4 linked regions of the Nothobranchius furzeri genome follow. The protein of the gene in region 4 binds, or shares a complex with, the protein of the main gene of each other region. Links are inferred from orthologs where the notes say so. Each region holds a gene or a part of one and is shown on either strand. Other genes may lie near its edges.

What was found.
Region 1: cep290 (region 4) and b9d2 share a complex: the UniProt entries of both Homo sapiens proteins name them as parts of the tectonic-like complex. The link is inferred for Nothobranchius furzeri from reciprocal best matches to the Homo sapiens genes CEP290 and B9D2.
Region 2: cep290 (region 4) and ahi1 share a complex: the UniProt entries of both Homo sapiens proteins name them as parts of the tectonic-like complex. The link is inferred for Nothobranchius furzeri from reciprocal best matches to the Homo sapiens genes CEP290 and AHI1.
Region 3: cep290 (region 4) and tmem107l share a complex: the UniProt entries of both Homo sapiens proteins name them as parts of the tectonic-like complex. The link is inferred for Nothobranchius furzeri from reciprocal best matches to the Homo sapiens genes CEP290 and TMEM107.

What each region holds. Positions count from the first base shown.
Region 1 is NC_091743.1:62,503,167-62,506,041, reverse strand, and holds b9d2 (B9 domain-containing protein 2), read left to right. Parts: upstream 1-1,253; 5' UTR 1,254-1,691; coding exon 1,692-2,219; 3' UTR 2,220-2,375; downstream 2,376-2,875. Other genes in the region: poc1a (POC1 centriolar protein homolog A), read right to left, coding at 146-325, 526-697, 828-912, 2,560-2,574. UniProt on the Homo sapiens protein: Component of the tectonic-like complex, a complex localized at the transition zone of primary cilia and acting as a barrier that prevents diffusion of transmembrane proteins between the cilia and plasma membranes.
Region 2 is NC_091758.1:20,121,040-20,124,998, forward strand, and holds the start of ahi1 (jouberin), read left to right. Parts: upstream 1-1,159; 5' UTR 1,160-1,577; coding exon 1,578-1,584; intron 1,585-2,281; coding exon 2,282-2,391; intron 2,392-2,613; coding exon 2,614-3,185; intron 3,186-3,278; coding exon 3,279-3,364; intron 3,365-3,438; coding exon 3,439-3,625; intron 3,626-3,754; coding exon 3,755-3,947; intron 3,948-3,959. UniProt on the Homo sapiens protein: Involved in vesicle trafficking and required for ciliogenesis, formation of primary non-motile cilium, and recruitment of RAB8A to the basal body of primary cilium.
Region 3 is NC_091745.1:78,310,947-78,314,964, forward strand, and holds the start of tmem107l (transmembrane protein 107), read right to left. Parts: upstream 2,801-4,018; 5' UTR 2,494-2,800; coding exon 2,407-2,493; intron 774-2,406; coding exon 706-773; intron 633-705; coding exon 532-632; intron 1-531. UniProt on the Homo sapiens protein: Plays a role in cilia formation and embryonic patterning. Requires for normal Sonic hedgehog (Shh) signaling in the neural tube and acts in combination with GLI2 and GLI3 to pattern ventral and intermediate neuronal cell types.
Region 4 is NC_091744.1:50,606,358-50,608,829, reverse strand, and holds the end of cep290 (centrosomal protein of 290 kDa), read right to left. Parts: intron 2,259-2,472; coding exon 2,185-2,258; intron 1,489-2,184; coding exon 1,445-1,488; intron 984-1,444; exon of another isoform or gene 954-983; coding exon 709-953; 3' UTR 501-708; downstream 1-500. Other genes in the region: rlig1 (RNA ligase 1), read left to right, coding at 1-35, 173-346. UniProt on the Homo sapiens protein: Involved in early and late steps in cilia formation. Its association with CCP110 is required for inhibition of primary cilia formation by CCP110.

The sequences.
Region 1 (2,875 bases), on a different chromosome or scaffold from region 4:
AGGAAAAGTGTAAAAAAAAAAGGTGAAAACTTGACATCACATATTAAATTTTTTAAACACTTGTACAACACTTTACTCATCATTACAAATATCACAGGGAAACTTGCATGGTGTGGTATTAAATGGGAGTGTGTGTGTTTCATACTTGGCACAGCGGACCCAGTTGATGTGCTGGTTAAGAGAGAAGAGGAACTTCTGCCTGTGGACCGTCCACACTTTGATTGTTTTGTCATTAGACGCTGTGACCAGGCTCTGTCCATCACCGGAGAAGTTAACACAACGCACAGTGGCAGTGTGAGCCCTGAATTCAGTTGAATCAGCCTTCCTGCAAACACAAAAGGTATTATTCATACATAAAGCAGACAAACACACTGTTTATTCAGGGCGCTGGTATGATGAAATTAGAGTAATCAGCAGATCTTGTTCTTTTGCCTTTAGGAATCCACAGCTTTGTCTTGAGTGATAATTTCTGGAGAAACTTGATGAGAAGAAAACAACATAAAATGCTGCTACGTATAAACTTACATGCTGGGCACCCAGAGACGTACAGTTTTGTCTCTAGAGGCCGAGGCCACAAGGTGACCAGATGGAGAAAACTGGACAGAGTTTACAGCTTCTCTGTGTCCATCGAAACGATAAGCTCTCATCTGAGGCTTCAAGTTCCAGATCATCACACAAGAATCCATAGAGCCTGTGACTGAGAAAGGAGGAAGCACAAGCTGGTTGAAGCAAGAGATTGGTATTAACTACAATGTGCACACAACAAACTGGATAACAGGTGAATATATAGACGGACAAAGGCTCAGATCAAATAATAATAATATTACCAATTTGTTTCATGTTGCGGCTGAAGTCCACACTTGTCACGACGTCCCTGTGACCCTTGAAATTTCTCTCTAGGGTTGGATCAGACTATGATGAAATCAACAGAGATTTTCAATTATTTTACAAGTTTATGTTTGGAAATTATTTTTTCATTTGTTTTATGACCACTTTTGTTATTAAATGATATTTTCTTCTTTTTTGTATTTTATGTTTTATTTTTTATGTAATTTTCATTGAAGAACTTCATGATTTTCTTTTCTACAATAGGTTCTATATAAATAAATTTTACTTTCTTTAGTTATCCATTGAGTTATATAAAAGTTGCAAGATGAACAGTCATCAGGAAAAGCAGGAGAAAGCATATCTAAATAAATAGCTTTTTAGAATTTATAACCTTAAAAAATAAAGCACCATTGAGATGTAAACAATACATTAAAAAGTACAGTGCACTTCATTTGCCATCTTGTTGAACTTGCGCTGTTAAATAGTTATTCGGAAAAAAGTAAACCAGCGGTTCTTGTATACCCTTTATTCAGTCTTTCAGGTATGATTGTAATTTATGTAACAGCTGCTTCACGTCATTAATTAAATTGGTTAAAATTCGTAATTAGTTTACTAAATTAAAGGTTAAGTAATATTTTTTTAGCAAGAAGATATAAAAATGTGTCTCATTTGCCTTCAAAAATAGAACCAGCCCTAGACAGGAAGTGCTGCCTGACAGACTCTGCTCAGGGAGTGCTGTATTAAGAGCACACTATGGCAGGCTGGGTTACCAAGGAGACGTGAGCTGCGTTTGTTGCTCTGTAGCCTTTGATAAAAGCGGGCTCCGTGTGTCGCATGTTCTGGTTAAAGCGGACAGCTGTGAAATGGCAGAGCTTCACATTATAGGACAGATCATCGGGGCCAGCGGGTTTCCTCAAAAAAGCCTATTTTGCAAATGGGAAGTTCATACGGGGGGAGCATGGCGTCTTCTCTCGGGGCTGAAGGAGGGTCAGACTCAGGTGGATTCCCCCCACAGCGGAGAAATGGCTTACTGGAGCCACCCAATTGATCTGCACTATGCGACCAAAGGTCTCCAGGGCTGGCCGAAGCTTCATCTGCAAGTGTGGCACCAGGACTCATTCGGCCGCTACCAGCTGTACGGATACGGGTACTGCCACGTTCCCTCCAGCCCCGGACATCACCGCATAAGCTGTGTGACATGGAGGCCGCTCGGCTCCTGGCAAGAGCAGCTAGCACGAATATTTGTCGGCGGAGGCCCCCAGCTCCGCAACCCGGATCTGATTTACAGTGGAGCGGACAGATACAGACTGCACACCGAGGCCATGGGCACTGTGAATCTGGAGCTGGGCGTCATCATAAGACACTTTGACAAACATGGCGTCGAGAGCTGAGACGTCAAATAAGAATGTTGTATTGATTGTTTTCTTATAAAAAGTTTGTTTTGTCGCAAATGCCTTTGAAAAATTACACACGGCAAAGTTTTGTACATTTCTATGCTGATGTTTTTACACCTGAAATACAGCTATAAATAAACACTTATCATTGAAGTTGGTTTCTTATTCATCTACCGTTTACCATCAATCCAACTATACCTAATATTTCATATTTGTAACGTTATGAATATTTGAACATGTGTGTGTGTGTGTGTGCGTTAACCAAAACAAGTAGTCTACTACAAATCAGACACGAACTTCCTCAGTTGCTACAGTAACAAGTGCTAGCCAAACTCACCAGTGCAGAAGTCATTTTTCCCGGTATTTAGCACGTACACCCGAGTAAAGAGGCTCGTTGCTGCTTTGGCTATTATGACCGAAATACAATTGTTCTCAACTGTGGGTTTTGAAATGAACAGAGGGAGGAAAATATCGCTCCGGTAATTGGAATTGTTTTTTCTAATGCTAGCTGCTAACAACAGAGTTCAGTTTACGCGCCGTGATTGGGCGCTGAGCTGTTGGCCAGAGTCCTTAAAGGGGACGCTGGACATTAAAGGACGTTTGTGTCGAAAAAAGACTTCAATCAAATGTAAAAACGATGAATAACAAAATAA
Region 2 (3,959 bases), on a different chromosome or scaffold from region 4:
CAAACTGCTCCTTCTTTTTGATACTTGGACGATCTATGATTGAATTACTCAAAGACTTTGGGTCATGTGAAAATGCTCATGCATCTAAATAGGAACTTTGGAAAATGAAAACAGAGATTTTAATGGAACATTTCTGCAGCTTTTCCTTTCATTTAAACAAAAATCCTTTTGCAGCTAATCTGGGCAGATCTCAGATCAGGGGTACCCAAAGTGCGGCCCTTAATGATTTTGTACATGGCTGTTACAGAAAATATATGGAGAATAAACTTAAAATGGAAAATAAATTAATAAACCCACGATTCTGATGGGTTTCACAAGGAAAACTCATGAGACGCCTTTAAAGTTTTATTGATCATTTTTTGCATAAATCTGAAATATTTTGGTATTTTCATTAATACGTTTTTATTTTTATTTTGAGCTAATCATCAAATAAGTGTGTTACTATTTGAATCCTATTTCATATTTCATATTTCAATCTCAGGTGTGTTCCTTAAGCAGGTACATTGAAGGTTTCTCTGAAAACTTCATTTACTTTTTGTTCAACATCTCCCCAAAATCTCTTCAAACGATCAAAAAGTCCTCTGAGCAACCTGGAGCAGCTCTCATAAAAGCCGTGATTCTTCACATGAAATGTTCTGACACTTGTGTCTGCTTCACCTGCAGGACTCACCTGTAAAGTCACAAGACTGTTATGTAATGCATAATTATAGTTTGTGTTAGGAATGTATATATAACTGTTCAGACACTTTACACATTTGTGCAAGTATCAAATAGAAAATCTATAGCTCAAGACAACTTGAATACTCTGACATGATAATTTTCTTAATTCATCCTTCACTGAAGTTACAAAGCTCGAAAAGTAAACCATGAATGTATGTGTTCTCCAACTTTTATCTTAATTAAAAATATAGCATTTTACGGGTAGAAACGTATAAGTAAATTTAATCCTGACTAATTTGTGGGAGAAAGAAGTGAGCCACACTGTTTGCTTTGAGCTCTTGCAATAAGTTAGGAAAATCCAAGTTTATGTTCGTCTTTGAACGCAGCATTTGGGGGGAGCTACACTCATTACGTGCTATAGCGTTCTCGTGTCCTTAAATTTCATTGGTTACATTTTTGTTTGTTTATCTACGTCGCTCCGCCCGTACGTTGTTGACTTGGAAACCATCACGGCGTTGTGCGGTAGAGGACAGTTTAAGCGTAACCCGCGTTCAAACAAGGAGTTTCAAGTAGAAAGCTCACATTAACTTATTAAAAACAATTATATGGTTATATTTTGGTTCAATAATGTATTTCAATAACAAAGATATAACTTTTTTAGGCGTAGTACGTGACCAGAGCAATTTAGCTAGCAACTAGCTAACTAGCTTCTGGTGAAATAGCTAACAAATATTATTAATAAAACATCTCGTGTGTCTCCGTTAAGCGGACACGTTCTAGTATCATTAAGTGAAACTTAATGCTCACTTTAGAGTCGCGAATGTGAGCTGCGACATTTTGCTTTGTATTTTAGATACGCTTTTTTCTGGATTATTGGCGTTTTTCCCTCAGAATGAGAAACAGCACGATGTTTGAAAATGCCAGGTGAGTGTTCAGCTGTCCTGAAGCGACTAAAGAACAATTTTTGTGAATAAATCAATTAAAAAATATATAGAAATTATTTAATAACTAGTAAACCAGTCAAATATCTTTCAGTGACCACCCAATCCAGAGATTAAAGTTTTACACTAAATAAAAAATATATATTAAGTGTTATTGTTAAATTAATATTAAAATCCTTTTAATTTATTACATTCTCTCAGATTATTTGATGTTGTTTTGTATTTTCATGGAAGTCAAACAAAACCAAAGCTGGCAGTAGCTCAGGAGGTAGGGCAGGTTGTCCAGCATCCAGAAGGTTGCAGGTTTGATCCCAGCTCCCGCCAGAGAATTGTGTCGTTGGGCAAGACACTTAACCCATCTTGTGGTGGTCGGAGAGACCGGTGGCGCCCGTGTTCAGCAGTCCCCCTTCTGTCAGTGCGCCCCAAGGCAACTGTGGCTACATTGTTGCTCATCATCACCAGCATGTGTATGTGTGTGTGTGAATGACTGATTGTGTTGTGGTGCGCCTTGGGGGGTTGTTGAACCCTAAGAAGGTGCCGTACTATTACAGGCCACTACCATATGTAATCAGTGTTTTTTTACAACCACTTACAAATTCAGCAAATGATTCTAAAGTGTTTATCTCAAGCAACTTTTGTAATCAAGAATTGTATAGATAACAAAAAATAAACATTTCCAGGTGTGAGTGAAGAGACCCGGGAAAGATTTAATGAAGTCTTCAAAAAATATTCAGGATCTGAGAAGAAAAAGTCAAAGAAGAAAATCCATGAAGCAAACGAGACCATAGTGGTAGGTGTTCTGACATGTGCTGTTTTCCACCCAGTGGTTGTCATCAAATGTTCTACATTCTGGCTGCAGTGTTGTATTCAAACTTGAGTTATTTATGAAATATAATTATAGAAAGCATCTGCAACAGAAGAATGTTCTATTTTCTTTAATGTGAACCAGTTCTAGCAATTTAAAATATTAATAAATCACATGTATTATTATTGTCGATCTCTTTTTTCAAAGCTTCAGAATCTGACCAGGAAGCTGAACCTTGAGAAAGACACAGAAGATGACGAAACCATTCTGCAAAACACATATGACCCTGAACAGGGCAGCCCTCGTTATTCCAAAAACAAACGAAGAGAAAAGGAAACAGCAGAACAGGTTAACTGTAACAACAGCAAGGATGAAGAAGTTAAAGCATCAAAAGCCAAAAGGAAGAGTAAGAGGGACCTCCCTTCTTTACCTGTACCCAAAGACATTCCAGAGGACTTACAGGAGGGGGCAAATGCTTCTAGAGCCGACAATACTTTGAATCCAGAAGCTGCTGTTGGTGAAAAGAAACGAAAAGGAAAAAGTAAGAAGGGAAAAGTCAGAGAAAATGTAGAAGATGTTGCAGAGAGTCCGGTGGAGGATCCAGAAGATAAACTACTGCATGAATACCAGCAGCAGATGGCACAGGAAGAGGAGCTGACTGTGAAGAAAACAAGGGTCAAACGGGAAACTGTTAACTCACAAAGTGCTGTGTTGAATAATGATATGGGGAAGAAGAAAAAGAAAAAGCTGAAATCTGTAACAACTGAGTCAGATGTAGGGTGTGTATTTCTCTCTAATTTTAGCTTTATTGTAGTTTTTGATATCAAGAATAAAGTTTAAGCAGCATTTTGACTTTTTTTTTCTTTAATCAGGGATCAAGATGAGGAAGTCAATCCAGATGCTGATGAGGAAAATAAAACTGAATCAAAGGGAAAGAAGAAAAAGAAGAAGAAGCACGGTAGTTTTTTAAAACAAAGTAATTTGTGTAACATAAAAAGAGATTTTGATGAGTTATTTTTCTCAACTTTTTAGTTGTCAAAGAAGAAAGTGAAGCTGAAGCAGCAGAGGAGCAAAAGCCGACATTTGATGACGGTCTTGTTCTGGGAGTGTTCGTTCATAAAACGGATCGCCTGAAGACGGACTTACTGATCTCGCACCCCATGGTGAAGATCCACGTTGTTGATGAGATCACGGGCAATTATGTGAAGAAAAGGGACTGGTGAGAAGAAGTTATCTCTGATCTTATGCTGCTACACCTATCAGCGTTAAAATATTTGGGCTACAGTTTAAAAAAATGTTTTCATGCTCAAACATTTAATTAAAAGTGAAATCTGTTTGTGTTTTGAAGCCATCGACCTGTGTCTTCCTATTATGAGGGACAGAACGTCGACCATATCCTCCCTATCATGACTCAGCCTTTTGACTTCAAGAAGAACAAATCCATCATCCCCGAGTGGCAAGAGCTAATCATATTCAACGAACGCTTTGGCTACTTTGTTGAGCAAAAGGATGAAAGCCCCAGAGTCATCCTCTTCTTTGAAGTGAGATATACT
Region 3 (4,018 bases), on a different chromosome or scaffold from region 4:
AAACTGTCAGTGTCGTGCCGTTGTCAGGTAAAAACTCTGCACTGCATTTGAATTTAAATCTGCCATCGCTATTGGCTAAGAGGTACCCTAGAACGTTAGCTGGTACCATATGATGTCACAGTGTCGTTGTGAGCCTGTGTGTGTGTGTGTATTTCTTAGCAAAACTATTGACACTCATTTATATAGTTAATCAGCAAAAAAAAAAGTTAATTTGGGAGTGACTAGCTTTTTAATAACAAATTCACTCATCCTTACTCTTTAACCTATAACAAACCTTTATTTTATAGTAATTTGGGTTTTATTCAGCTATTCCGTTTGTCTTTTAGAGAGAACCGACCAAGTGGGAGAGAGCTAAGCTAGTTATCCACTAGCTGCTGCTGCTGCGTGTTCTTTGTGTTACAGCCTTAACCAGAAGTCGCTTTACTGTTGAATATTAAAGGTCATATATGTATATATATATATATATATATATATATATATATATATATATATATATATATATATATTTCATTAAGGATGAGTAAAGGATACACAGGAGACCCTGAGTGCTGTTGAACATAGACACTCCTGAAAAGAAGCCAGCCAGCTCGATTACAAACAGACCAAGTGTGACTGCCAGCGCCACCACCAGCCTGGAGGGAACAAAAGAGATCATTTAATCCGAGAACCTGATAATACGAGTGTGTTACATACATATCTACTCACTTTTTGTCTTCGGTATCATACTGCTCTGGTGTGAAATCCAGTGGTAAACATGCTTTTACATTATTTTCCTATAAAAAGAAAAACAATTGCAAATTATTTCAAGGGCTGAATAATCTGGATGTGATGTTGACCGTAGAGCAGTGGTGTCCATCCCTGCACCTCGAGGGCCCCTATCCAGCATGTTTCAGTGGTTTCTCTGCTCTGCTGTTTTTAACCAAGAGGTGATTAGGGTTGTCACGGTAACCGGTGTAGCGGTAAACCCCGGTAAAAAAGTTGACAATAATAATAACCGTCTTGTTTTTTTAAAAACTATATTATCTCGGTGGATTACCGTGGCTGCGGTGTAGGCGCGGTGACCCTTACCAGCCACCGTATCATCTGCTGAAGTTGCCGGCGGCACATGCGCACTTTGTTGTTTACAACCAAAACTTTCTTGAAGCTAAAGCTGAAATAACGGACAAAGGAGGAGACGGCAGCACTCAGGACATTTATTATCGCTCTAAGAAGACAAAGTCAGAAGTACGGGCATTTTTTTATACCAGAAGAATGCCGAGGGAAAGCTGATAGAAGACGGCTATCCTGTTTGCAGCACGAGCAGAAAAAGTGTCTGTGAAAGGCAGCAACGCTTCAAATCTCATGACACATCTGCGTGACCATCACCCACAACTCTACAGTCAACGCAAGGCAAGCTAACGTTAGCGCTTTAGCTAAAATGCGTGATCCGAGGATTTGGGTTGAGGGAGAACGCAACGAGTCGCTATATAAAGCAGCCGCAGCGCCGCTACCTGCATATAAACCGTGTCGCGGACACCGCCATGTTGAAATGACGCTATGCATTACGGGGCTCCCAGGGGCAGATAAGAGTTGGTCTCTCTCCGAGAATAATTATGAATTTAACAACGATTACTGCCTGATGCCATTTTCCCACATCTGCAAAGCTCACTGGAAGGACACAAACCGAGGACAATATTTTCCTGATATAGGGTTTATTACTCAAGTAAGGGTAAAAAGTATCTGATTAGAAGGCTACTTGAGTACTGAGTATCATCTGGTCTAATATTTTTAAAATGATGACATCAAACAGACATAAAATAAGAAAAGTTATGGGCAAATATTGGTATTTTAAAGACTTAAGGGGAAATATGTAAACAAATAAACAACATAATTACAAAATAACACATTTTAGGCAAAATTTAGACACAAACTGAGGACAATATTTTCCTGATATACAGGGTTTATTTAGTTTCCTGAAAATGTAACACGTTTAAAACAATACCACGATAATACCGAAAACCGTGATAATTTTGGTCACAATAACCGTGAGGTTAAATTTTCACACCGTGACAACCCTAGAGGTGATTAACAGCTTCTGCAGACCTAATCATGCTAAACAGGTGACTCAACCATTGAATCAGGTGTGTTTGGGCAGGGAAACAACCAGAACATGCTGGTTAGGGGTCAATGAGGACACTTCCTGGAACTTAAATGACGTTTTATAACACAACAAGGAATATGTTTTAATTACCTTTGATGTTTAAGCAGAATTTCTAACAATGTGTTTGTGTGTTCACCTTTGTGGTATTTCATATAACAGCAACGTCTAATAAAACCACAGATCTAAAATCCCATAAAGTTTTCTCCATTATGAAAATAAAATCAGGCACAAGAAATCAGATTAAAGATAAACCATTTTTTTCTTACCCTTGACCAAAAGATGGTGATAACAATGACAAGATGAGCTGTGATGGTGAGAAACCGAGCAGGAACAAGGCTGCTGATGGCCGACATGGTGATCCTAATCAGCAAAGTAAAACTCTAAAAGCTCGTGAGTAAAAAAAAGAGTAAAAGGTTTTTGTTTACTGCGACGGAAACCACTCAGTAAGCTAGGCTAGCATGTAGCTAAATGTGCTAACTTTAAACGAACACTTTAGCATCTGTTTATCTTGCGGCTAATGACATAAACCAGCTGATTCATTTGTTTGTTTAAAAACTCGCGAAGTCTATAGCTTAGTTTTGTGTCTCGTTCGTTAACAGAGCCAAAAACTTCACGTTGTGACGCAACTAACGGTTGCTACAACAACCACGGACAATGTGCATACGGTTTTAATGACCGGACAAAAAAACGAACACCTAAACGGTTCCGCGTTGACCATGAACGCGTCACGTAAAAGAGTTTTTAATCAGCAGTAAATAATATAAAACAGAGAAACCCAAACATCTTATTTAGTAACGGTGGGTAGTCAGCGCGTTTCATTTTTCCTGGTCAGAGTTAGTAAAAGAGGTGTAGCTTGACGTGTAGCTGGATATTTATTTATTTATTTATTTATTATTTATTTGTTTATTTATTTGCTTTTTTTATTCATCAATACTGCGATCTGATGGTAACACCTGATGTCTTTTCATTTTTATCATAAAAATGCTTAAAACTACCCGAAAATTCAGGTTCCCCGAAAAAAAAAACAAGACAAAATGAAAGAAATAGAAAGGGCCACCAGATCCGTTCGCTGTTGGATAAAACGGTTTTATTTTTAAAAAGACAAACAACAACCGCATGTTTAATTGGAATTGGCAGGATAAACGTGCCTGTAAAACAAAACAGCGCAATAAGAAACGAATGTGTTTCTGTTAGATGGTCTGAGCCAGAGATTTCCCACCCCCATCCCACCAGTGGACTCTTCCCCCGAGGCAGACTGAACCGATCCAGCGTGCGTGAGCAGCGGAGCGGCACCAGCCAAGGCCCGGGCTTTGCCTCGCGGCCAGGAGAAGAAGACAACCAGCCGGGGTTTTCTCCAGGAGATCCTTTTGAGTCGCTTAAATCGAGAAAGCATCATGGCCGAGTCGGAGTTCCAAACCTTTACTTCTATCATGGACGCGCTGGTTCGCATCAACGTGAGTATGACGCTGGCTTTATTAGTCACTTCAGCCATTTGTGCAGTTTCAGTCTGGATGTTTTAGCGGATTTCCCCCCATGTTTCAGATATGAAGCCATCTGCATACAGATGTGTCCAGCTGTGATGATGGAGCGTGCTAATTCCGTTTGGAGACATGATATCAGCGTCACAGTAAAGCTCTGGCACTGTGTAAATAACAACAAAACAACATTTAAAACGTGGAAGCTGAAGTTGATGCGTTTGATTTTTTTACTGTTGGACTAATTTAAATATGTTAGAAAATAGCACGAGAGGCGTTGGGCCGTGCACACGAAAAGACAGAGATGATGCTGGTTGTCATAGAAACGGGATGCTGCGCCCTCTAGCTGCAGTGATGGAAAAGAGCCACCACGTCCACGGAAACTGATTTTCATCATGCTTTT
Region 4 (2,472 bases):
TCGTGTGGCACTGTAAGGACGGCACCCTTGTCAAGGTGTGGAGTCTCTATGTGCCGTCAGACTGACGCATTCAAACCAATAATTTACATTTGAGTGTACGGAGGAGCTGAGTGGTTCCATCTAAAACAACTTATCTACACAGATGTGTGTGTGTGTGTGTGTGTGTGTGCAGGTTCATCGTCACCACCTGGGTCTCCGGTGGCCAGTTGGGGACACCCACCTCTCCAGCAGGTCGGTGGTGGTTCGGGTCGATGCCTACAGCTCCACCAACACCTTGTTCACAGCTCTTTCAGCTCTAAATGGACACAGCTTCAGACGGCTTCAGGATGTCCAGTTAGAGTCGTAACCGGGGTATTCGCTCTGCTGAACCTGACACTTGAGGAACCAGAAGTCTCATGAGAGTGGTCTTTAAGGGACGAGGTGTCCCCGTCCTACAAGCTCCGACCTGAAGGACTTGCCAGCTGGGTGAGAAAATCTTTGTGTGAAGAGTAAATGGCAGATTTGACAGATTAAGGCAGTTCCTTTATTGACACACTTATAAATACGTTACATGAGAAATGACTGTAAACCTACGAGTTAAGAAAAGACAAAAGCTGCTGTATAGAAAACATAAAAGAACCAGTTTAATATTAAACCCTCATTGTTTTATTGTGGAACAAACAGGATAAGGGCTGCGTTTTAACCTACGTTAGTGTGCCAGACCCTCAGTTAACTGATGGACACGCTGGGCATCTCAGCCTGGACCCCAAACTGGTCACACACCTTCTTCAGCTGCTCCTCCAGCAGGATGTTCTTCTTCACCTCCAGGTTGTAGTTATACTTCAGATCCTCCAGCTCGTCCAAGAGTGTTGGGTCAAAGCTCTCCAGCTCCTTCTTCAACCTCCTGACCTCCGCTTGAAGGCTGCTCTTCTCCGTTTCTGCTGCCTGCAGGAGGGTGTTCACTTTTCTGTAATCTGAAAATAAAACTAATGATGCAACATCCACCACTGACAGGTTTATTTTCTGTATACAATTAAACTACAGTGCTTTAAAATACTCACTAGGAGTGTGAACTGGCAAGTATCCAGTGGTTTGATGCATTGTGACGCCAAAAGTCAGACAATATTTTTAAGTCTGAATTAAAAACGCTTCTAAGACTCAAGAGTTACCCCGTGATCTCGTTCCATCAGGATAAAGGCGGTAAACCCTGCTGCCACCTAGCAGTCAGAGTGTGAATTGCACTACACAAAATAAATAGTTAACATTTGCATGAAAGTGCTCAATAAAAAAACACTTTTCCAGTGCATCGCTATTTTCTCTCATCAGAAGCTTAAACCCATCGATGAAATGAGCTACAGAGAATCGTGGAACCAGAAACGAGTAGCTAGTGTTAAAAACTAAACATAAACAATAAAAACCCAAAGCCTCCACTGGTTCATGCTGAAGGAAGGGCTGACTCTCTCACCTGATGAGGAAGCCGTCTCCCCGTCTGGCTCAGCGCTCTTCAGCCTTCAGACAGATCGTAGCTACAGTCAGGATCTCCAGAATTTAAAGTTATAAGTTCTGAACGTAGGGCTGGACAATATAGACAACAAGCTCATCGATAAAAATGTCAAAAATACATTTTACGCGCAGCCCTGGGCCCCTGGCCATCTTAGGCCATTACTTCATGTTAAAACACGTTGGTTGCATTACCAGACTTGTTTTTATCAATTCTGTGTTGCAAACCACCATTGTTTGTTTGTTTGTTTGGTTAAGTACTTTAATCTATTTTGGGACAATTTCTTCCTCCTCTCCTTGCTGCAACATCTTGTATAAATCACACTGCTGTCTGTTTAGGTTTGAGAGGGGATTGGCTGGGTGTAAGTAGTGACTAGTATGAAGCTATCCAATAGGCTGTAATGGAAAAAGGAACATTTTATTGATCCATTTGTTTTCTATTGAACCACATGTCTATTGGTTATATATATATATATATATATATATAATTGTCCAGCCCTATCTGTACGTTTCCACAGTAAAATCTAAAGTCAGATGGAGCGGAAGTGCAGACAACAAAACGGCAGCATAAAATTGTTGGAAACTAAAGTCATTTTTGACAACCTCCCCTCGTTTCAGAGGCTTTAACATGATTGGACAAGACAGAATACCTGCTAAATAAATGTTCAGTTCTAATAATGAGTAGAAAGTGGTGGCCTAACGTACCTGGTAGTAGTCTGGACCCCACTGGAGGCACCTGCATCAGCCTTTAAAGCAGGAAACCTTTTTAACACGTCAACCTGAAGGAACACATCAGTGACACTCATGCACCACTCTGTTAAATATTCAACACCTGTTGGTCACGCTAACCACATGTCATCAGTTCATGTTTTTACGTTCAGACCCTGAGACTGGGGACAGAAAACAGAAGCAGGAAGTGGTGGAACCTACACAGTTGCTACTGGAAGACTTTAATATTCACATCTGCTGTCCTGGAAGTTTCTTTAGTCTCTG